Linked DNA regions of Astyanax mexicanus. The protein of the gene in region 1 binds, or shares a complex with, the protein of each later gene. Links are inferred from orthologs where the notes say so. Each region holds a gene or a part of one and is shown in the gene's direction. Other genes may lie near its edges.

Evidence for each region.
Region 2: the proteins of tsen34 (region 1) and tsen15 are in contact, whole or in part, in a crystal structure (PDB 6Z9U), measured with the Homo sapiens proteins. The link is inferred for Astyanax mexicanus from reciprocal best matches to the Homo sapiens genes TSEN34 and TSEN15. Residues at the interface, in NP_001070914.1 of Homo sapiens: Pro251, Leu252, Arg253, Phe254, His255, Ala256, His257, Tyr258, Pro265, Glu266, Asp267, Thr268, Ile269, Pro270, Leu271, Gln272, Leu274, Ser283, Val284, Arg285, Lys286, Thr287, Leu289, Leu290, Cys291, Ser292, Gln294, Val300, Tyr301, Thr302; in NP_443197.1 of Homo sapiens: Leu70, Lys74, Trp76, Thr108, Pro109, Ile110, Thr111, Ala112, Ser113, Leu114, Ser115, His116, Asn117, Ile119, Arg120, Leu123, Leu141, Ile143, Val151, Tyr152, Tyr153, Lys154, Leu155, Thr156, Asp157, Gly158, Phe159, Met160, Leu161, Pro162.

What each region holds. Positions count from the first base shown.
Region 1 is NC_064416.1:31,993,900-32,005,990, forward strand, and holds tsen34 (tRNA-splicing endonuclease subunit Sen34), read left to right. Parts: upstream 1-7,343; 5' UTR 7,344-7,660; coding exon 7,661-7,999; intron 8,000-9,605; coding exon 9,606-9,741; intron 9,742-10,788; coding exon 10,789-11,070; intron 11,071-11,547; coding exon 11,548-11,744; 3' UTR 11,745-11,917; downstream 11,918-12,091. Other genes in the region: trypsin-3-like, read right to left, coding at 4,774-5,517. UniProt on the Homo sapiens protein: Constitutes one of the two catalytic subunit of the tRNA-splicing endonuclease complex, a complex responsible for identification and cleavage of the splice sites in pre-tRNA. It cleaves pre-tRNA at the 5'- and 3'-splice sites to release the intron.
Region 2 is NC_064415.1:56,945,368-56,957,495, reverse strand, and holds tsen15 (tRNA-splicing endonuclease subunit Sen15), read left to right. Parts: upstream 1-6,818; 5' UTR 6,819-7,210; coding exon 7,211-7,264; intron 7,265-7,922; coding exon 7,923-8,004; intron 8,005-8,103; coding exon 8,104-8,239; intron 8,240-8,631; coding exon 8,632-8,800; 3' UTR 8,801-10,168; downstream 10,169-12,128. Other genes in the region: acbd5b (acyl-CoA-binding domain-containing protein 5-B), read left to right, coding at 419-604, 1,176-1,234, 1,903-2,074, 3,029-3,222, 3,611-3,661, 4,446-4,555, 4,659-4,671. UniProt on the Homo sapiens protein: Non-catalytic subunit of the tRNA-splicing endonuclease complex, a complex responsible for identification and cleavage of the splice sites in pre-tRNA. It cleaves pre-tRNA at the 5' and 3' splice sites to release the intron.

The sequences.
Region 1 (12,091 bases):
TTTTTTTTTTGTAGATGTTTCAGATGGGGTAACGTGTTATAGTAACAGGAATGAGTAAAACCCAGGGATACCACTAGAATGTGTATTTTAACTTAAATATTATGGATTTATTGTGAAAAAAATCGTTTTAAAGCTTTTGGAGTTTGGATTTGGAGTCACACAACAATGCAAAAAAATACATCTGTGAAGGATTGTAATAATTTTGTTACATGGTAAAGTTTATTATTGCCTTATGGTAAAATACAGTCCTCATCTAACTAGAAGTACAAAATGCAGTATTATCTACTTGAAAGTAATGCTGCAGTTAAAGTACTTTTTAAGTGTATATGTAAAGTAAAATATAGTAGCTTAGGCTATGTGCAGTGTCTGTGGATCAGTATAGTGCAAGAAATACTATGTAAATATGAACATTGCATTCATGCTTGGACAAAGTTCTAAGTAGTACTTGTTTTAAATTTTAGCTGTGTGGGTGAAATGGTAGAAATATTATCATAATATATTTAAGAACAATGCAATACCTGTCGCATATTTTTTTTATTTTGACTTGCAAACAAAATGCGTCAGTAGTGGCAGACCACAATCTAAAGTGTATCTAGTGATGCCATTTCTTTGTGTTTAGCATATCCTGAGGATACAAGCGGGTGTTTGAGGAGTACACTCGGGTTCTTGCCCAGAGGTACCCAGACATCCGCATCGAAGGGGAGAACTACCTGCCTCAGCCCATGTACAGGTACATATACAGCTTTTCTTTCAATTAACAGGTCAATAAACAATGAATTATTTTTTCTGATCACACGTTTACGTATTTCTAAAGCTTGTGTAAATTCTCTGTTTGCAGACACTTTGCTTCCTTCCTGTCCATATTTAAGCTTGCAGTGATTGGTCTCATTGTTGTGGGAAAAGACCCGTTTGTGCTCTTTGGTGTGGAGACCCCTGGACTCTGGGCTTGGGGTCAGGAGAATAAGGTAAGGATATAACATTTGTAACCCCTCTACTTATTTTAAGAAGGAACAATTAGTCATTTTCATTAGTGATTAGTCTATTTACGTGTATTAAAATGATAAACAGACAATAGTATGATTTGTTATAAATATTTTTGAGGTGGATAGAGACAGATTAAGCGTCTCTACACTATAGAAAACAAGAAATCCAGCTAGGGAAAAGAAATTGGTGTAACCATAAAACCAGTAAAGAACGTGGATTACCCAATACAAGTGTGGTGCAAGCTGTTTGTAATTCTTAAAAGGTTTACATGTTTTCTCAGTACCACTCTGTGAGGCTCTCTCTGTGATTTCTGTGATTCAGAGATCATGGATGGAACTACCGAATAGATGCGTTTAAAAAAAGTATAGTGCTAGTGCGTCATCTGTTCAGTCCCTCGTCAGTTACCTGCAGCGCACTGGGATTCTGTTTATAAGTGTAACCCACACCATAGGCCCTACTGGGAGGTTGTTAACGATGTCTGCTGGGAGACTTGCATCAGCCTCTGTCTCTCTTGGTAATCTTGAGATAGATAGGAGTGTAAAGGGCTGAGGGCCCTTGATGTATTTGATGATTTGATGCATTATTTTGATGATTTGATTTATTATTATTTTTATACATAATGCTGAATGCTTACTTAATCTTACTTTAAACTCTGTAAATTTGAAAGGGGTATTGGAATGTCTTACAGAGTTGATTTCCCAAACACGGATTATGCCTAGTCGTAGACTGTGTTTTCCTTTCAACAAGAATTCTCTATTCAAAATGCTGTACAGTCTGAGACTGTGCTTAATAATTTGTGTGGAAAAACTACCCATAAAGACTTGCATTTAATTTCTCCATGCCTGCAGCTACCCTTATGATGCACATGAGCTGAAGTGAACTATTTGGATTTGTTTTCCTTTTTTTTTTCAGATATATGCTTGTATGATGGTGTTTTTCCTCAGCAACATGATTGAAAACCAGTGTATGTCCACTGGTGCCTTTGAAATATCACTGAATGGTAAGTTTATTTTAAATGTATTATTATTTTATTATAAATCAGTGAGGATTTTTCCGTTTCAATGTTGTATTGTGCAGAACAGTCAAGACTTTTTCCAGAGGCTTTGCCAGACTAACCTTGTGCTGTGTTTGTGTATGTGTGTGTCTGTCCACAGATGTGCCTGTTTGGTCCAAGCTAGAGTCTGGCCACCTTCCCTCCATGCAGCAGCTGGTCCAGATCCTGGAGAATGAGATGAAGCTGAATGCACACATGGACACCCTGCCCCTTCAACGAGCCTAAGTCAAGACTGTTGGGGAATCAGAGCTCTTCCTTTTCCTGTAGGTAACAATAGAGAAACCTGCTGATAATAGAATATTCAAAACATTGTGGTAAACATGATTAACCAGTTATTTCTTAACTCCTAACACCCCTAACAAACCTTTCCTCCTGTCTCCCACTATTTCCCTTGGCCTCCTTTAAAATGTTTTTGCCTTAAAGATCTATGTCCTCTATTGCTAAATGTACATCATTAATTGTAAGTCGCTCTGGATAAACGCTCCTGCAAAATGTTATGTAATGTAATTTGGAAAATCAAATATTCTAAAAGGGTTATGCAGTTAGGGTTATAAAATCGGATTAATTTTTTTTTTTTTTTTTTTTTTTTTTTTTTTTACATTTTACATTTGTTTACATTTTCAGGCCTCTGTTTATATTTTGCAATTGATTCTTGTTAAAGGTCTTTCTTGGGAAAGAAACAGTGAATGAGCAGGTGTTCCTATACCTCTGTCCATACCTCTGCATTTACAATTTTAAAATGCTTTTACTGGTCTGACAGACTTCATTTTGACACAATCATGCCTTTTATTTTCCAGCCATTAGGGTTATAGCTCGATACATTTTAAACATGTATTGGTTTTAAAAAGTGATAGCACTGAAATGCCATTATTGGCAGAATATTGATCAGGTTTTTATCAGTTTTGTCATGATTTTCATCATTGCACAAATGTAATTTGTTAAAAAAAAAAAAAAGGACATTTAGGCATTTAAAAAAATATTAGTTTTAACTTTAGACATTTAACACCCAATGTGGGTGCAATCTGATTACATTATTAAATATGTTATTGTTTGTTAAACCTTTTTTAAGCTTTTACTTGTGTTCTAATTATCAAAAATGTTAACTTTTTCAGTTTAACAATTTTTTGTTGCCAAATATTTGGTAAATACATAGTTTCAAAGTGATGATTGCTGATTTTCTCTTGTTTGACATTAATTGGTGACTATTTTGTTTCTCTCTCTAGGTATATGTTAGGACTACACAGTCAGTAAAGGGGCACCAATGAAAGTCTTCACTGAAAACAGAGTCTCTGCTGGTGTAGACTGGATGTCCTCGTCCACTTTTACTGTTAGCTGTGGGAGTCCTGACATACACAGTGGGTCGACTGCCTCTGGATTAGCAATGGTTTTATTGGAATGGTGGGAAATCTTATTTGAAAAGTCCTTGTGAAAGCTACAGCCTTTCATTTACTCTAGAAGTCAGATATTGGAGCTGGGAATGATCTCACAGCTGAGTTAATGATGTTCCAGTTCATTCAGATAATTTTACAAAATTTTAAAGCATTTTTAAAATGCAATATTATGGTAATAATATGAACAATACCAGTTAATAACAGTGCTTTACACAGACTTTTACATACTTAACAACATGGAGAATGGAGTCATAATTGGAACTTCGACGTCCGCTTTTAAATGGCACGCAGCAATCCTACATTTGGCTATCCATTGTTAATTAATAAGCCTTGTTGCTCTTAAAGATGCAGTCAGCTGATCTACACATGCACTTTTCAATAAGCCCCCCCCCCCTCCCAGTCTTTACAAAAACAGTTAATTGTTTATAGTAACAGTAATCAAGGGCCAAAGTTGTGTGTGTAATTCTGTTCCCATTAACGCACACATTTTCCGCGCACATTTTTGATACTTATGCATAATTTCCCAGATTAAAAAAATTGCTCTTATGGCAAACAAAACACACGCACAATTATAAATTATTGTGATTTTAGATATATGGATCAAGAGTTTTATTCATATCTGAAGAATTTTATGCTAAAGACTTAATAAAGATGAAATACATACCTTACTGTATATTTTATCCAGATCATGAGGAAATGTACGTCATTGAGTTAATATATTCCGATTTGTTTATTTTTTTCAATGTTTCTTTTTATATTCTCAACTGAAATAAAATATCATTTATGTCTAAAACTGCTGCTGCTTGCGAACTCGTTCTTAAGTTGTTTCTAATTTATTGTATATGAATTTTATGTATTTTAAACCTTAGTATCTATTCTTTTACTTGAGTTTATGAATGTGAACAATTTTGAGACATTTGATGATGTCCAAACACTTTCAGACCAACACTGAAACTGTAGGATTTAAATAATCTTCTACCTGATGTATTATCAGTTTGCGTCTGAATGTGTTAAAAACACAGTGTAAAGTTACACTTCTGTAAGTATATTAGCTGGTTTCAAAGCAAAAATGTGAATATTCATTTTTGACTTCAATTTTCTCTAATCTGACTCAAATTGTATTATTTTTGATCAAGTAGAAACTTAATTATAATTTTTTTGCTAGATGAGCACTTTACTGCCACTCTAGAGGGCACTTTAGCTTTTTAGTTGTTTTTAACTGTTTTTTTTTTCTAAAGTTGATGCAAATGCAGTTTAGATGCCAGTTGTTGAATTGTTGAAAGAAATCACAGAGGAGTTGAATATTTTCTAATGGAATTTTATTGAGACCTCAGGAATGATAATTTAATAGGACTTCATGGTGTCCCTGATCCAGGTGTTGTAGTTGCAGACTTTGGTGTAGACGCCGGGCTTGTTCCTCTGGGCACATCCGTAACCCCAGGAGACGACGCCCTGCAGCTGTCCGTTGCAGACCACGGGTCCACCGGAGTCGCCCTGGCAGGAGTCCTTTCCGCCCTCGAGGAATCCGGCGCAGAACATGTTGGAGGTGATCTGACCGGGGTAGGAGTTTCTGCAGGAACTGTCACTCAGGATGGGGGCATCCAGGCACCTCAGGCGGTCGGGGTAGTTGCTGCCACTGCTGCTGGTGTTGCCCCAGCCGGAGATGAGGCAGCGGGTGCCGGCGGCGGCGCAGCTGCTGGGCAGGGACACGGTCTTGACGTAGCTGTTGAGGTTGGCGGGTTGGCTGAGCTTGATGAGCATGATGTCGTTGTCCAGGTTGTTGCCGTTGTAGCGAGGGTGCTTGACCACCACAGCGGAGTTGAGGAACTGCTCGGTGCCCTCGTTGACGTTGATGTTGTGCTCTCCCAGGCGCACCTGGATGCGAGACTTGTAGCAATGGGCGGCAGACACCACCCACTGGCTGCTGATGAGGGAGCCGCCGCAGAAGTGGTAGCCGGCGTTCAGGGAGACCTGGTAGGCCACACCGTTCTTCTGGCACTCGTAGCCACCGACGATCTTGTCATCGTCACCATCCAGGGGGGCGGCGTACGCCACGGCGCACAGGGCCAGGAGAATGAGAGCCTTCATGGTTGTGCTGGACAGGAACGTCTCGCTGTATTTGGACGCCCTCAGGCCTTGCTTATATACCTAGAGAACAGCAGATTTGCTGACCATGCTCAAGGACAGGTGGTGCATATGTTGCACACGTACAAGTACCATGTACGCATTAACAAGTAACCAGTGTGTGAAATGACATATGGCTATAGATATGGTATCATGCATAGAGCAGGACTGAATACTCGGCACTTTCTGAGTATGATCATACGAATATGAAGTTTAAATGAAGTTTGGATAATATAGATATGTTATATAATAAAATGCAACATACACACATTTTTTACTGCAGCTTTAGACAATAATGTGATCAACATTGCAAGTACTTTCACCATTTACTGATGCATTTTGTCAAACATATGGCATGGATTGGAATACCTATATGAATATATGATTTATTTACAGACGTGATAATATGAGCCATGGATCCCAGTGTCTGCAACAGATACTGTAGAACTGAGATGGGTTAAAAGTTTATTAGTGGGTTCAAGACGGCTATGCCTCTTGGACAGGGTGTCAGTTCATTTTAGGGGCAACAAACACAGGACCACAAACATTTTACCAGCAGTCAACTTAATTGTGTCTTTTAAGTTTTACATTTAATGCTGATGATGGTAAAACAGTAGTAAATTGGAAAACAAAAAAGATTCCTTCCTAGACTATTTTCACTTTTTTGAACACCCTGCAAGAACCTCCACAAAGGATATAAAATATTTCAGGCCAAAAGCTTCTCAAAACTGTAAGTCAGTAAACACTAAAAAGAGATTGTGCAAAAGTTTTAGAATTAAAGTATATATATTAGGGATATATTGAAATGAAACAATATAATATAACTATACAAATATATAAACTATTTTTCTACTACCCACTTGTTCTGCTTTATTTCTATATTTTTAATAAAAGAAATGACTTTAGCCATGTCTTTATTATTGCACTTCACCTGTTAGACATCTAATTATTTTCTTCACTGCTGAAACAAAGACTTAGTCCACCGTTAAACTAAGCTAAAGGTGTTGGTACGTGGGTCAGTCTGGCCGTGTACCAGTTTTCTCCAGTTTCTATCCGGATGGGATTAGTTTCTCAGGGGGTCCTGGGTTAATTTTCTCTTTTATGGGGGGCCCTCTGTGATTTTATTCCCGTCCAGAACGACCATGTACTCGTTTTTCTCAGACGTCTCAGAAAATTACATGCCTGAATTACCTACTGTTTTTTGCTGAACTCTGTCGTCCTCTGGTAATTTTATTTTTTTGAGTTTCGTCTCCTCACGTTTAATAAAATAGCTATTTGTCCACTGCTACACACCATATTTACACTTTGGGTGCGTGTTTCCACGGAGATGCACGTAAACACAATGGCAGTGGTAACTTGTTGAAAGAACTGACTTATGGTTTTAATAGTTACAGAGTTATCTGTGTTTCTTTTTTAGTTATTATGATGAAAGTGCTGTGCAGTGGCTTGGAAATTCTCATTTTTTTCATCAATTTCCAAAGCTTAGTTTACTTATATTCCTACAGACCAGCTATAACTCTTAACCAGTAACTTATTTTAAAAAGACTCCAAACCTGTTAATTTTTTTATTTTTACTATATTCAGTTTTTTTTTTACAAAATGAAACAGTGAGTGTTCTAAAACTTTTTTATTTTTATTTTTGATCGGTAGTGTAATTTATTTCTGCATAAAAAAAAAAAACTAAACGTAACGTTATGTTAAATAAAGACCTTTGCTTAAAGCCCATTGGTTATAATGACAGACGTAGGCCACGTGGTGTTTCGCGTCACGAACGTAAACAGTGAAAACAGGAAGTCGGACCTGTAGAGCAGCGTGATCAACAGATAAAAGTCCTGCTGTTTAGGAGAAAAAGAAGTTTTGTTAAACTGTGAATAAATCTAGATTGCATAGATTAGTATCTATTTTATATTTACTTTTTTGTTTTTATCTGTGTTTTAATCTACAGTACAGAAAATACCCGTAATATAGGTATTAAATATATTAAACACAGACAGACTGAAACTGCAGTGTGTGGCCATGTGGTTCATCCTCAGCCCAGCTTCAGCGTTCTCTAACAGAACTTGTGTTTAATGGTTAAACATGTTCTAGGCTTAGTTCTGGTTCTGAGATGGACTGTGAGAGGCCGGCTGAAGATCACGGCACTCGACAGAACGGAGGAGCCGGGGAGGGCGGTGAAGCAGCGGGGGCTGAGAGTGAGGGAGACCGGGAGAGGAGCAGGGAACCCCGTGTGAACATCAGCCTGGTCGGGGGCACTCCTCTACTGTGGAGAGCAGGCGACATCCGGAGAGTCCGGGAGGAGGACGGGGTGGTCGGGGCGCTGGTGGGCTCGCTGGCCAGGCAGCCGAGGCAGAATGTGCGGCTGGGGAGACCGCTGGAGATCCTGCAGGAGGAAGCCAGTCTGCTGCTGGAGAGAGGCAGGGCTGCTGTACAACACACACACAACCAGGTTATCTAGTGTTAACTGTCTTTATTTTATTGGTTATATAAGAATTGGAGAAATCACTGGGTTTATTTTCATCTTTTTGTATTTGGCACCCTCAGATTCCTATTGTTTTTGCTTTTTAAAGCAAAGATTAAAAACACATTTTAATATCAGACAAATATAACCTTAGTAAATATAAAACACACTTTTTAAATTATCGTTTTATTTATTAGGGAAAAAAGTCTATCCAAACCAATCTAACCCTATAAAGTGTTTGCCCCTTAAACCTAATAACCTGGTTGTACCACCCTTGGCAACAACTGCAAGTTTGTCCCACTCTTCTTTACAGAATTGTTTTGTTCAAAGGGTTTTGTTTGGATCATTGTCCTGCTGCAGAACCGAGGTGCACCTGAGCTGAAAGTCATGAACTGATGGCCAGACATTCTCCCTCAGAATTTTCTGGTAAACAGCAGAATTCCTTGTTCCATCTATTAAAGCTGTGAACAAGTTGTTCAGGCCCAGAAGCAGCAGAGTAGCCCCAGAACTTCACACTACCACCACCATGTTTTACGTTCAGTATGATGCTCTTTTTCTGAAATTATTATTTTTTGATTTACGCAAGTTGTAATGGGCCACACATCTTCCAAAAAGATCATCAGGATGTTTGCTGCCAAATGTGAGATGGCCTGTTGTGTTTTTCTTGGTCAGCAGTGTTTTTTGTCTTGAAACCTGCCTAGAATCTAATGAAAACCATTTTCGTCCAGTCTCTTTTTTTTATTATTGAATCATTAACACTGTCCTTAACTGAGGCAGATGTGGCCTGCCATTCTTTAGATGTTGTCATTGGTTATTTTGTGACCTCCAGGATTAGTTGTCCATACCCTTTTAGAGTAATTTTGGTAGGCTGGTCACTCCTGGGAAGGTTCACCAGTGTTCCATTGTATCTGCGTTTGTGAAAAATAGCTCTCACTGTGGTTCACTACAGTCCCAATGCTTTAGAATGTATTTTTAAACCTTTTACAGATGGACAGATGTGAGTGAATTTCTTCAGAAATACATATGATGTGTTGCTTTTAAGATCTTATATTTTGCTTCATGTTGTCAGACAGGTTCTATTTAAGTGATTTCCTGATTGTTTGACAATCAGGAAATCAGTTCCTGGGGAGTTTATACCACTCTTATACACACTGGGAGTACTGATAGTACTTCTCTAACATTGACTTGTCAAGCAGTTGTTCTAGAGTGTTTACTGGAGTAAAATGGCTACTTATTGTTTGCAACCATAGAATACCCTCTCATGTTTATTTTTGTGAGTGTTTTTTGTTTAATGGCACAAAGAGGCTAAAATATTGTTTAAGGGTAAAATTGATATTTGTTTTTTTTGTAATTTATACAAGCACTGTTGGGAAATGCACACTTGTCAAAAGCTTGTATATTATAAAGGCTCCTCGCCAAGAAATGGCTAACCATGTGTAGGCTTATTGTCATGCTGTAGAGATAATGTAAACTGTACCTGCATCTATACCTGTGGCATATTATTAAAAAAAAAAAAAAACTACTTACTGCATACATACTTTGGTCAAAGCAAGATGGTGGTGGATTCTGTTCTGTTTACCATTTTTTTCTATAGGAAGATGAAGAAAGCCATGTGAAGGCTGTTGAGGCATACCAGTCCAGACTGGAGCACAGTTATGAGGAGCAGTGTGTTCTCGCCCTCGAGGACAAGAAGGCGGTTCTGCAGAGAGTAATGAATGCAAAACAGAACGGTGAGTAAAAGTCAGTTACAGCCAGGACTGAGCATTAGGTATTTTAGAGCTTTCAGAACAAGACCTTTTGTCTCCATTTATCATCATTTGAAAATGGCAACAGCTCTGCACTGGGCATATGCCCCAGGAACTGCCTGACGTTTTGGAGATGTTCTGACCCAGTCGACTAGAGCATCACAGTTTGTGCCTGTCAAAGTGTCTCAGATTCTTTCTCTTGTTAATTTTTTTTTTTTGTTCAACACATGACATTCAAGAACTGACTGTTCACTCGCTGCCTAATATATCCACCACTTGAAAGATGATCTTGTAGATTAAGAAAATCTGTGTTTTTCACTTCACCTGTTAGTGTTAGAGTTAGGGCTTATTATGACTTTGTATCGCTATTTAGTCTACACCTAATCCAATCTTCTCTGCCACCGTCACCAGAGAGTCCAGCTTCATGCAGACCCTCTTTTTCCCTCTTGCTGAAAAGCTGATTTTTAAAATTTTGTTCCAAAATCAATGTGATTGGTTACACACACATTTATAGATACTTATTAGATTTAATTATACAAATCTAGATTTAAACATCTAATTACAACTCTTTAACCCTATTAGACCCTGCATCCATTACAATTGACATCATATATGAATGGTCCATATCATCATATCATAAACCAGCCAATGAAACAGTAGCTTAGCCCCACCATTGCACTGGAAAATAAGACCAACTCAGAAATTAGGGCATGGCTGCACTTGAGCCAGTGAGGCAAAATAGGAGCTTATTGTTACTATTTATATGTGATTTAGAACACATTAGGTCAATATCAAATTAAAATTACAAGCATTATAGACAGAAAGCAGCATTCCTTTATTTTTTATTTTTATTTATCACTCCATCACTGGGACATAATTCAGTTCTGAAAGGGTTAATCACAGTGCTACTGTTATAAAGGATTAAGATAAATAATTTAATTGAATACAGTAGCTGAAGCATCATTTTGTTTTTTTTTGTACAGGCAGACAGTTTCTAAATATAATGATTTTTTATTGTGTCTTTTTGCACAGATCACACATGTGACGAGGGCACAGAGCAGGCAATGAGAGAGCGGCTCAGCTCCCTGCAGAAAGGCTTCACGTTACCACGCTCCGCCATGGCAGTGCAGCTCTGCACCGCCCGTGCTGGCTTCGGTCACTGTCCCGAAGAAGCTGCTTTCCTGGCTGCTGATTGGCCAATGCCCAGAGATGAGCGGTCTGAGACAAGGTTCAGAGTGTATAGAGATCTGAGGGGGAGGGGCTTCTACCTCACAGCAGCAGGGAAGTTTGGTGGAGATTATCTAGTGTATCCAGGTGAGTTCAGTAGATTTAGTAGACTTATTATAGTGACATGACAAAACTTTTGGGACAGTAGCTGTTTTACAAAAGCTAAATACCTCTGCACTGAGCTGTGGGATACGTGGGCGGGGTCTGCTGCACTGAATGCAGATATGATTTCTTTCAGAGTCACTTGTCTGTTCACATGGACAATTTTAGCCAGATGCTGGTGATCACCATCATGATCACCCACTGCTGTTCGTAACCAAGGTTTTTTTTTTTACATTCAAGGCATTTGTGGGGCCCCAAGCAAAATGGACGCAAGTCGCATACTAACTATAAAGAAGGACCCCATATTAAAAAATCTGATATATTCAGTCAAATATACAGTGAAAAATATATTTGTCCATTTTATAACTATGTTGGCATATTGAAATAGATACTTTTTATGTATACACATAGAAATACATTTGTTTTGTAACATAGACTGATTGTTTTGCTTTTTTCCTGCAGGTGATCCACTGCGTTTCCATGCGCACTTCATTGCTCTGTGCCTGTCGATGGTTGAACAGTTGCCACTGTGTGATGTTCTGGCTGTGGCTCGGCTCGGTTCTAATGTGAAGAAAACAGTGCTGCTGTGCTCCCCACGGGACAGTGGAGTGGAGGGGGAGGTTGTGTATTCATCTCTGCAGTGGAGTGGAATGGTTTAGTGTCTAAAGTTTTTTCAGACACTCAGCTGTTCATGAACTAATAAAACATAAAAAGAAAAAAAAATCAGACCAGAGGATCTATTAGCTTGTGATATGGAACTCAGTCAGTGTGGGGGGAGTGCCTTTTGCAGGTTTGTTAACTATAACAATAAATAAAACATTATTTTTTTGTATTTTTGGTCTTTATTTGTTTGTAACGTGGGCAAGCTTCCATCACAGTGTAGAGTAGCCCTCACATTAAAAAAAACAAAAACAAATTTTAACTTTACAATTTTCATTATTAATGCAGAATTAAAATATTAATGTAAATAAAGTCATTAATTGTGAAAGGGTGTAACATAGTTATT
Region 2 (12,128 bases), on another chromosome or scaffold:
ACCAGGAAGAAACTGTTTGGTTGCTAGGTTGTTGCTATGCAGCTGCTTTAATGTTGATGCAGTGTTTCTAGGTTGTTGCTAGGTTCCTGCTTTAATGCTAAATGTTCCTAGATGTTTGCTGTGGTATCCAGGTGGCTGCTAGGTTGTTGCCATGCAGCTGCTATAGTGTTGCTACAATGTTCCTAGATGTTTGCTGTGGTACCTAAGGTTGTAGCTAGGTTGTTTCTATGCAGCTGCTACAATAACGTTGCTACAAGGTTCCTAGGTTCCAATATTTCCAGGTTCCTGCTGTAGTGCTATAAGGTTGATAACATGTTCCTAGATGTTTGATATGGTATGGTATGGTATAAGGTTGTTGCTAGGCTGTTGCTATAGAGTTAGGTGCCTTACTGATATACTGTTGCTAATATGTTCCTAGGTGGAGTAGGGAAGGACGAGAGAGTACCGCCGGCGCTGTGTAACGGAAGTGCAGAGGTTTCCTCTCTGACCAACGACACACACAGCTCCCTGAACACAGAGCAGGAAGAGGAGGAGCTAGCCTGCAGCACAGAGAACTCAAGCCAGGACCCTCAGGATGTTTATCCCTGCACCGACTACATCAGCGGTACTCACCTGAAATAGAGGATTCACTGTGGTAGTGATACTGTAGTCATAAAACACGTGCATGCGCTAAAGCACTGAAGCGTTGAAGCTTGTGACGAGATTTAAGTTACATTGCAAATCTAAAAATCTAATTTTACAATAGGTAACAATAGTTTAATCCATATTTAATCCATTTTTCTCTCTTCTCCATGTCTGCTTTATTTCTCTCTCCCTCTTGTCGCGCTTTCTGTATTCCTCATTTCAAATTAAAAGCCTTCTGCAGAGTTTTGCAATTGTGATTTTATAACATTTGATAATTTTCTGTCTCTTTTAACAGTTTGTACTGGAAACATTGTGGACTTTTAAATGTTTTTAAATGGACATTTTAAATGTTTAGTTTGGGTAAAAAAAAAAAATCTTTTTTTAGAACAGTTTAGAACTAGAGATGCTAGGCTAACTTTCCTAACACACATTGAAATTATACTGTGACCAATTTTCATTTTTTTTAAATAAATACACACATTTAAAAACATAATTAATTTACTTTACAAATCAACACAGACTACAGCTGCTAATGTTGTTTTCCCTTCCAGATGAAGTCCCTGAGTGTGAAGTTAGCAGTGACTCAGTGGAATGTGCAACACCTCAAGAGGTACTACCATCCTTCAGTTTTTAAGCAAATCCCTAATCCAAATATAGTTATTAAATCAAGGCGTATTTGGTGTGTAAACGTTCCTTCTTATATGTTAAACTAGAGCTATGAGTCCAGTGTAGCTAACAAGCAAGCGTTTATTTCTTTTATTGTTGATGATTATGACTTACAGCCAGTAAAAACCTAAAAACAGTGTCTCAGAAAATAAGAATATTATATAAGACTAATTGGTACTTATTGGTGCCTAAGTCCTGCTGGAAAATGAAATCCGCATCTCCATAAAAGTTGTTATCAGCAGAGGGAAGCTGTAAGATTTTGTGGGAAAACAAAACTGCACAGACTTGATAATAAAACACAGTGGATCAACACCAGCAGATGACAGACATGACTCTCCAAACCATCACTGATCATCAGTAAATTTTACATTTCATTTAAAGTAAATCAAGGGACCAGAATCCCACAATCTGTGTCAGCATTAGATGCATCTAAATTTAGTTTCCACAAACATTTGTACATGTAGTGATTTGTATCAAATGATATCCATGTGAGTGAGAATATAATTGGTACCTATTTAGCTCAGGACTCACCTGAATGATGTCATAACATGATTTAAAAATGGGTTTCTGGTTGTTTATGAGTGTGTGTGATGGTTTATTTGGTTCCTGCAGGGTTTAAGGGTTTCCAGGGGCCGGTTGGCAGGGCCCGAGGCATTTGGAGCCAGAAGACTGGAGGATCCCAGAGGAAGCCAGGATGCAAAACGGCAGGAGACCCTCCTCCCCATCCCTGTGGCAGCTGGGCCAGTCCAGTCTGAGAGAGACTCAGTGGACAGAGGAAGGGATGGTGCGTTGTTGGTAACATTTACATGCTGTAGACACACTTATATATGCTTTAATACACATTACTGTTTAATATTCTAATTGAACATGTGCTATATTACAGTATAACAGCCTTAAAATATAGTAATATTAGTATTTTAGTATATTATAGTACACTTATCATCAAAAAATAGTTGCAACCAGTAGAATGTGTCAGATATTAGATATTAATGCTATTAGGAAGAAAGATGAAGGTTGCTAAGAACAATAAATAATTACAAATTTAGATTGGTATGGGCATAATTCAGGGCTGTAGAGGTTCCTTATGGTGTCCTGCTATAATCCATTAGTATTATAGAGTTTTATTCAAATTTATTTCTAATTTTCTCCCAAATTAAGCTAGTCCGATTGTCCCAACCATTCAGCTGCTAGTCACTTATGATGCCACAACACAAGAAGGGTGAAGACCAGCGCATGCCTCCCCTGACACATGTAAAGTCAGACTCTGTAGCAACTTGGTTCTGATACATCAGCTCACAGATGCAGCCTTGTGCTGATCCACATCACCCTAGGAGTGATGAGGGGAAAAAGAGAGCGCCATCTACTGTACTGTACCCACCCAGAGAGAACAAGACCAACTGTGCTCTCTCAGGGCTCTGGCAGCTGATGGCAAGCTGCATGACCGGGATTCGAATCAGCAATCTCCCGATCATAGTGTTGACCATGTTGATAGCACATTTTCAGATACATGTGATGGATTATCGCAGGACACTAATGGGTATTATGTTGCATTACACATGAACTACATGTGCATTACACAATACTACCACTTGTGTTACTCAATAATTACAGCTCATATCAGTCTAAATGACTCCGGTATCATTTTATTTGATCTTTGCTGCTTCCGGAACACGTCCAGGTTGTGGACGTTGCAATTTATAGCTCATAAAATGAAGTTCATGATTTGCGATTGTTTCAGAACATCATTTAGGTGGATCTCAAATCGTAGATGCTGTTGGGAAAACACTGAAAGGTCATGAAGTCCCGCAGTGTGTAGAGAAAACCAAACACCGTGTGAACACACAGATCACCTCAGCATTATCACGGCTACAGGATGACATGCAGAACGTGCTGCAGAGACTGAACACACTAGAAGCTCTGACTGCAGCTCAGGTGAGTCAGAAAAGCTTTGCATCTTTAGATCAATAATCTTTAATATTCATGTTTATGTGGTTTTTATAATAGTGTTACATTCTACTAGTCTTTATTTCATTTTACACTTAAAAAATGATAAAGACTAATATTACTATTTCATACTATTTTCTCAGTGTTCAAGACCAATATTTGGAAAATTAAAACGATAGAAAACTACAGTATATCTATACATTATAAGATCTGGTCATAAAGTTGATATTTCTTGCCATCAGATATTATCACAATCTATATTTTTGTTACAGAGGCATCAAACCAATTCTTCAGATTTTTCACAGTGTGATTTCGATGTTTAATTTTTAACCAAAAGAAATTCAGGTTAACCTGCTGTACTGTATTTTCTTCTCAGGATGAAGCTTTTCCTCCTGAACAAGACCCTCATTCAGCTTCAGTAAAAAAGGTAGGCTTACAATACAGCTGTCAAATATACAATAGTACATTTAATTATATTAATAAAATCACTAAAGAGAATCATAAAGATGTTTAATTGGTTTGTTTTAGTTGGTTCTAAACTGTATGTTTGTAAGTTAGATAATTAAAGTTATAAATGTATTTAACATTTAAAAGTTTTTGAAGTTTAGATATGTAAGGTTTATATATTTATTAGGGCTGTCAACGTTAAACAATGAATCAGTAAAAGAATCACTAAAGAATCAGAAACACGTTTTCATTTTTGTTATGCAATTAATCATACCACCAAGTTTAACCCCAATTTCGCTGTAATCTGCCCCAGCCAACACAGCTATCAAATACACTTCTTTTTAATTGAGCTAAACTGCTGATAAGGTGCAGTTTAATCTGATATATTAGCCAGATAACATACTGCTATGAACAAACACTGTCTCTGCTGCTCCATACTGTTTACACACTAAGAGCGCAGTCTGTGCAGCGTTCACTGCTCACAGCCACACCACTCTGTTTACAACATGTCGAAATTTTAGATGTTTTCCAGTTAGTTGTCTGAGGTTTATATGTTGGGAAATTGGACATTAAATGTATTTGTGTTTAAGATGTAGATGTTTTATTCTTGGTGTTTGTAGAGTAGAGGTTTGTTTAGGTTTAGAAGTTTGATAGATAGATGTTTGAAGTTTAGGTAAATATAACACATCAATTCTTAGATTCTTAGAAACTATATTTTAAATTAATTATATAATCTTTTCTCTTTAATCTGCGTAATTTGCCAGCGATTTCCCTGGTGGCCTCAGGACACGTCTCCTGTAACTGTAGCTCTGGCTCTTATCTGGCCTTTTGCTGTGAACTGGCTGGTGCAGATTTATCTTCAGAGGAAGAGGAGGTCAGTATTTCATCAGTATTTAATCAGCAGTGATTAAAGCTCTTATTTTGTGTTTGAGGTTCAGTGATGTTCTGCTCACCCAGGCTGTATTTCTGGTTTTCAGGAGGATAAAATGAAGACGATGCTGTGAACGTATCCGAATTCAGGTGGAGCCCTCAGTGACAATCAGCCTCTTTCTACAGTATTTATAATATTACAGTGTAAAAATGTATTAAAGATACATATACAGATTAGCATAAATAAGTTAAAAATAACAATAATTCTCATTTTAATAAAGTGGCTAAGAACTAGAGTTCGTTTAAAGAACAAAGCTTGGTTCAGTTCCATCACCTGTATACTGATAAACCCTAAAACACTGATTTATTAAACCAAGTGTTGGTTTAGTGAGTGGAGGATAACCACAGCGAATACACTCATGAGTTGAGTTTTGGAGATGTTATATATGTTATATATATTATAAAACAAATGTATATATGGATTAATTGTATTATATTCTATTATAAATAAACACTCACTGCCCAGATAAGAATCTTATAATATTTTATTATAAGCAGTAAAGTTTATTCTTTGTACATTTATTAATATGTTTATTTATGTTATGTATTATTAAGTGCAGATGATATATTGTGTTTAAAATCTGCATAGTTAGAAATATATCTAAATTTATTTCTAAGCACTTTATTTATGTTGCAGTAAAATTACTTTATCCTGAATAAATATTTGTGAGGTTTTTTTTTTGGTAATGAAATAAATATTTGGTGCAATTAAACTTCACACCTTGCATTGTTTTTTTTTTCTACATTTTTGACCTGTTAAGGAAAACATTGTTGACATGTCTCTCCAAACCATCACAGACCATCAGTAAATTTTAAACCAGAGTCAGGAGGAAGAGTGGAGAGGCTCAGCTTGCGGATTTCATTTTCCAGCAGGATTTGGCACACTGCCCACACTGCCAAAAGTACCAGTTGGTCTTATATAATATTCTAATTTTCTGAAATACTGATTTAAAAATACTGAATAAAAGAAATAAACGCTTAAAATAGATCAATCTGTGTGTAATACATCTATATAATATTTGAGTTTCACATTTTGAACTGAATTACTGAAATAAAGTAATTAGTACATACCAATATAAATCCGTGTATCATTCGTTCATTTGATATTCAATTGAGAATCAAAATCGGAAAATTAAAAAACCAATTCGTTTTTTCGTTTTTTCGTTTTTGAATATAATACCAAAAAACGAATAACGGCTTGTATTTTGTATTTTTATTTGGTTATCCAAACAAAAATTGGAAATTTAAAAAACGGACCAGGAGCCGAATTTGATTTTGATTTTGAACTTGACCCATTTGTGTGCCCCGGAAGTTACTGATTTGTTTATTCTTGGTGGGTTTCTGTTGCGCGGGAGTTCACTGCAGTGTTATCTACACAGTCTGTATTGCTGTAGGCTTTGGATTGAGTTGAGGATGGAGAGTTTTATCTTGTTCATAGGAACTAAACGCGTTGCAGTGAAAGAAGACGATATGACAACAGAAAAAATCGGCAGGATCTTTCAGGTGTTTGTCTAACGTTCCGTAGCTAAATGTCATATTTAGTTAATGTTATTCTGTGAATTGCCGCCTACTAAATATGACATTTAGCTACGGAACGTTAGACAAACACCTGAAAGATCCTGCCGATTTTTTCTGTTGTCATATCGTCTTCTTTCACTGCAACGCGTTTAGTTCCTCTGAACAAGATAAAACTCTCCATCCTCAACGGCCCTCTCCAATTCTGTGTTCGATACATGTCTTTTTCGCTTAAGGTCGTGTTGAACACAGAACCTTCTAACACTCATTGCAGAACATCGCTGGATCCCCATTTGCTGCAACGTGCACGAAATCTCTTCATGCGTCTTACCACCTTCAAAAAGATCTTTAATTAGGCCAGAATGTGGTTCCAGTCCGGCCATGCTGCCTACAGCAATACAGACTGTGTAGATAACACTGCAGTGAACTCCCGCGCAACAGAAACCCACCAAGAATAAACAAATCAGTAACTTCCGGGGCACACAAATGGGTCAAGTTCAAAATCAAAATCAAATTCGGCTCCTGGTCCGTTTTTTAAATTTCCAATTTTTGTTTGGATAACCAAATAAAAATACAAAATACAAGCCGTTATTCGTTTTTTGGTATTATATTCAAAAACGAAAAAACGAAAAAACGAATTGGTTTTTTAATTTTCCGATTTTGATTCTCAATTGAATATCAAATGAACGAATGATACACGGATTAATATACATTGTTTGAGCGATTGATTTCCTTTAATGCGGAACCTCTTGTTCAACAGCGTGTTTTTTTTTCCGGTAGGGTTTGGGAGAAGCGCAACAACAGCACGTTGGGGCGCGTTCCATATGTGGTTTAAAGAGTCTAGATAGTGCGCACTTAACATTTTAGAAGCCCGTGTTTTCCAGTGGCGAAGTGGCAAGTGTTACATGTTGGCGTTACCGGGTGCACTCCAGTCTGCTTTCAAGTAGCTAGATAACTTTAGTTTATCGTTTAGATATTCAGCTTTATGTATTAATTACCGGTTCGGTAATTAATACACAACAGTAGTTAGTCTACTTAAACGCAGGTACGCGATTTGGGACGCGCCCTCGTTCTGAATGGGAGCATGGAGGAAGAAAGCAGAGCGGCTGATTCGAGCTGGATTAAACAGCACCCAGCAGTGAGTTTCGGTGTTTTTAACCTAGTTAAGTATCTTTTCTAGCTATATTATATTGTTTCTGTATTTTTAGAGACGTTTAGTTACTTTAAGCTGCCTGTTCTTCATTCCAACCAATATACAGTAGTATAAAAAGGTTTGGGCACCCCTGATAATTTTCATGATTTTTCTTTATAAATCTTTGTTTTTTGGATCAGCAACAAAATTATGAGTTTTTTGATTTTATCAAATTGAAAACCTCTGGAATATAATCAAGAGGAAGATGGATGCTCACAAGCCATCAAACCACCAAACTGAACTGCTTGAATTTTTGCACCAGGAGTAAAGCAGCATAAAGTTATCCAAAAGCAGTGTGTAAGACTGGTGGAGGAGAACACGATGCCAAGATGCATGAAAATATGAAAACTGTGATTAAAAAACAGGGTTATTCCACCAAATATTGATTTCTGAACTCTTAACCTTTATAAATATGAACTTGTTTCCTTTGCATTATTTCAGCCATTTCTCATTTTCTGCAAATAAATGTTCTAAATGACATTTTTTTTTTCATGCAGTTTACATTACACTGATTAAATTGTAGGACCTCCAAAAACATCTTTGAGTCTTTATTCAATGACATGATTTGAGTATCTATGGTCTAAAATGTGCTTATTCTCTTTAGTACCAAGACCTGATGAATCTGGATGTTGGTGACAGCGCTCAGGTCTATGCAGCATTCCTGGTTTATCTGGACTTAACAGAAGGTAAGAGAAAACTCTAGTGTTCTCCAGTACTGTGACGATATGTTCAGTGCATGTTGGATGTTAATCAGGATGTCTTGTCATGGCTGAACTCTGTTGCAGTTCGTCGCTGGAAGGACGTGGTGGGAGTCGCGAGCTCTGAGCTGCAGGCGGTTCTGCTGGAAGGCCGTGAGAAGGAAGGTGAACCGGTACAGGTGGTTTATCCACTTCCCTCACACAGAACCGTCAGCCACAAAGAGTAAGTGGACAAGGTTTGCGTCACTACTGTAATACTTTTCAAGGGTCTAAAGCAAGAGATTGCTGGGTTGAATCTTGGTCATGCAGCTTACGGCCATCAGCTGCTGGAGCCCTGAGAGAGCACAGTTGGTCTTGCTCTGGGTGGGAACAGTAGATGGCGCTCTCTCCTCTAATCACGCTGAGGGTGATGTGGATTAGCACAATGCTGCGTCTGTGAGCTGATGTATCAGAACCGATTCGCTTTCCAGGGATTCTGGTTTCCTATCCAGAGTTTGTTTGTCTGTATCTATTTTTTTCATGTGAGCAGACATTATTATCAAGGCATTTCTCTGCCTACACCATGTATGACTCTATATATTGTATGTGGCACATTTTGATTAAATCTGTTCTCAGTTTGAGGTGTATCCTGGACCGAGGAAGCCCAATGCTGTTGTGTGCAGTGGCCTCAGACTCCACCCTGGTGTACCAGCGGCTGTGTGACGGCCTGCTAACCCCGGACCCTCCGGTGGACATTCAGGACCAGGGCCGGAGACAGCACCGCAAGAGAAGACTCCAAACATGACCATTACATGACCATGTAATGGACATAACATTGTGGAAGATTCTGACTGAAGTTGAGGGGCAGTGTTCAGCCCACTGTCTCAGATTTAGCTTTTTATAATTTATCTGATGGCTGTATTTGAAGGCAGCTTTTCATTGGTGGGCAATAAGGCTGCATGATGGGGTCAGAATATACTCACCTTTCTGTAATGACAGTATTATAAAAAAGATCAAAAGTGCTTGCACGGTTAAGAAGTGTGCAGTTCTCTTTGACCTTTATTATTTTTCATAATATTAATGGCTCCTATCCAGATGGGGTGTGGCACAGGTACCTTCAGTGGCTTGTGGTTGTAAATACAATCCTCACTCTAGTCTCTGAAGGAGTTTAGTGTTTCTTTGTGTGTGTCCTCCTAGGTTAGGTGAACTGGGCGTGCTATAGCCTGTGTAATGGGATAACATTTGACAGACATTTCCTTTGGACAGTCCTACATTTTGGACTCAAAATAAACAATAAATTATATATACACTAGTGCATCTCAAAAAAATTAAATATAATTGAAAAGTTACTTTGTTTCAGTAATTCAGTTCAAAATGTGAAACTCATATAGCGTTATAATTGTTTGTTTATTTTATTGTTGATGATTATGGCTTAGAACCAATGAAAACCCCAAAAATCAGTGTTTTAGAAAAGTAGAATATTCTATTAGACCAATTGGTACTTTTAGCAGTGTGGGCAGTGTGCCAAATCCTGCTGGAAAATGAAATCTGCATCTTCATAAAAGTTGTCAGCTCTGATTTTGAACTTGATATAACACAGTGGATCAACACCAGCAGATGACATGTCTTTTTAAACCAAAATTGATTACTCTTTGTGTAATACATCTATATAATATTTCAAATTACGTTTCACATTTTGAACTGAATTGCTAAAATAAAGTAAATATAAACTTTTCAATGATAGTCTTAATTTTTTAGATGCACTAGTATATATCATATATAAAAGACATAAGGCTCCATTCATCAATATCTTCCCAAGACAAATTTTAATCAGATTACTGATTAAATTAATAAATGCTCTTATAGTGATGGATCACTTTTGTCCTCATAAATTAAACAAATCCCGATTAAGAAAATTTAAATCTTTGCAAAAAAACTGCAAGTGGGAAAAAAAAAAGATTTTTCTTCTTAAATACAGTTGGTGAATAAAGGCCTTTGTCAGTGATTACCCAGTGAGATCAGCGCAGAGTGGAAGGAATACGCAAAACTCTTTGATATTGAATATTTCTTCATTTTGGCAATAGTTTTGAACAGACAGTATTGGGCACTTGTATCATACACATATGTATGAATTCATAAAAGGAAAGCAAATAAAGTAAAGCAGATTCTCTTGTCCAGTCATTGTTTTCTTTTGTGGTACTGGTACTTTGCCTAGAGCCTGACTGAAGTATTAAAAAACTTTAAATCTCTTAAAGTTTAACTATCCATGTTCTTTCATTTAAATGGAAATCTGTGGAACATGATTTTGGGGAAGTTTGATCAGACAAGGATTGAGCCATGTTGTAGACTAAAGCTTCAGTGTTTGGATTGGCTCACTCGTTAACTACTTTACGATTCATATACAGCTTTGGAAAAATTACGAGAAAGTTTTAAGAGTTCAGAAATCAATATTCGGTGGAATATCCCTGGTTTTTAATCTCAGTTTTTTTCATGAATCTTGGCATTATGTTCTCCTCCACCAGTCTTACACACTGCTTTTGGATAACTTTATGCTGCTTTACTCCTGGTGCATCTTCCTCTTCATTATATTCCAGAGTTTTTTAATTTGCTAAAATCAAAGACACTCTTAATTTTTAGGTGCTCTCATTTTTCAGAGCTGTAGATCACATTTGCTATATAGTGAACTGACACTGGATCAACCTAACAACAAACTTTCTTAAAATCTTTGTTTGTGCAGCTTTGAGAACATCTAATATAACACCACTTTCACTGCATTATGGTATACACTGGAAATTCTAGTGTACATCATCTATACACTACATTTTGTGATGCATTATGGGTGTTTGGTAGTGAACTATATAGGGAATAGTGCACTACTTCTTCGATGAGGAGTAAATTCTGAACACAGCTTATATTTTCCTTATGCTGGAACATCTCCATTCAAAATGCTTTAGTTTAGTCCAAGACTAGGCTCAATCCTTGTCTGAAAAACTCCCCATTTAATTTGTTATTTTGAGTAATTTTGGCGTAACATCATCTAGCAAATAAGCCCCATTCATTTATCAGCTTTAAAAAATCAGCCAGGCTCTAGGTTGGGCTAAACTAAAAGACATGAATAAATAGCTGCACGGAATAGGGGCATGTGGGTGCGTTTCTTTTTAGCCTAAAAGTCAGTTTTTTTTTATTATTATTAAATCAGATTAAAGACTGGTTTGCAAGTTAACCGACAGAAATTGTGTTCAGCAGAAGGACCTTAAAGTCAATATATATATATATATATATTTTACTAATTTATTTTAACCTCTTGAGACCCTGCATCCTTATATGGGAATATAAGGATATTTATATTATATTTCCGCTACTTTGCACTATAATCCTAATTTTTGTAAAATGTTAAATATCATTGGCCTCATTTTGAGACACTGCCTATATCATCTATTGGTCACATGACAACATTAATGTCATTTGATTGGAAATTGTTGAAAGATGTTGTGAATCACAGTCAAAAGTTTCTACAGCCAGTCCAGATAGAAATAGTTAATTTTGTGTTTAAAACTAATTTATTCACTTACTGTAGAAAGCTAACATTCTGTTTTTGGACTAATTGAGTCATTCTGATCCCAAATGTCAAGAATCATTTTTAAATGTACAAAAAAAAACAAAACTAATGTCCCCCGTATGAGGACTGTGTTCTTTTTTTTAGGTATCAGGAGGTAAAAAATTACTGTTAGATGTTTTTCCAAGCCCTGCAGACCCAGCAAGCCACAAATGGGTTGAACAAAAAGCCTCACCCTGGGTTATTGTTAGCTAATTGTTAGCTATCTAAAGCAGCTAGCAGCTAGCACTGTTGGCTCATCCAAAGAGGCAGCCGGTTAGCTATCCAGCATGAAAACCTAATAATAAATCATCTGTGTGCTGCTAAGTTGTTGTGCTACTGACTGTACTACTTTCTTCTTATCATCAGTGCTTTTTTTTTTTCTAAAAAATTGAATTAACATATTTCCCCATGTACTACAATCTAGCTATTTTCCCATAAATTAACCCAATAAATTAATTAATGTTGCTTTTACAGGTTCTCAAATCTCAAAACTAGTCAAAATACATGACCTCATTACCTCTCAATTCTACCTTTT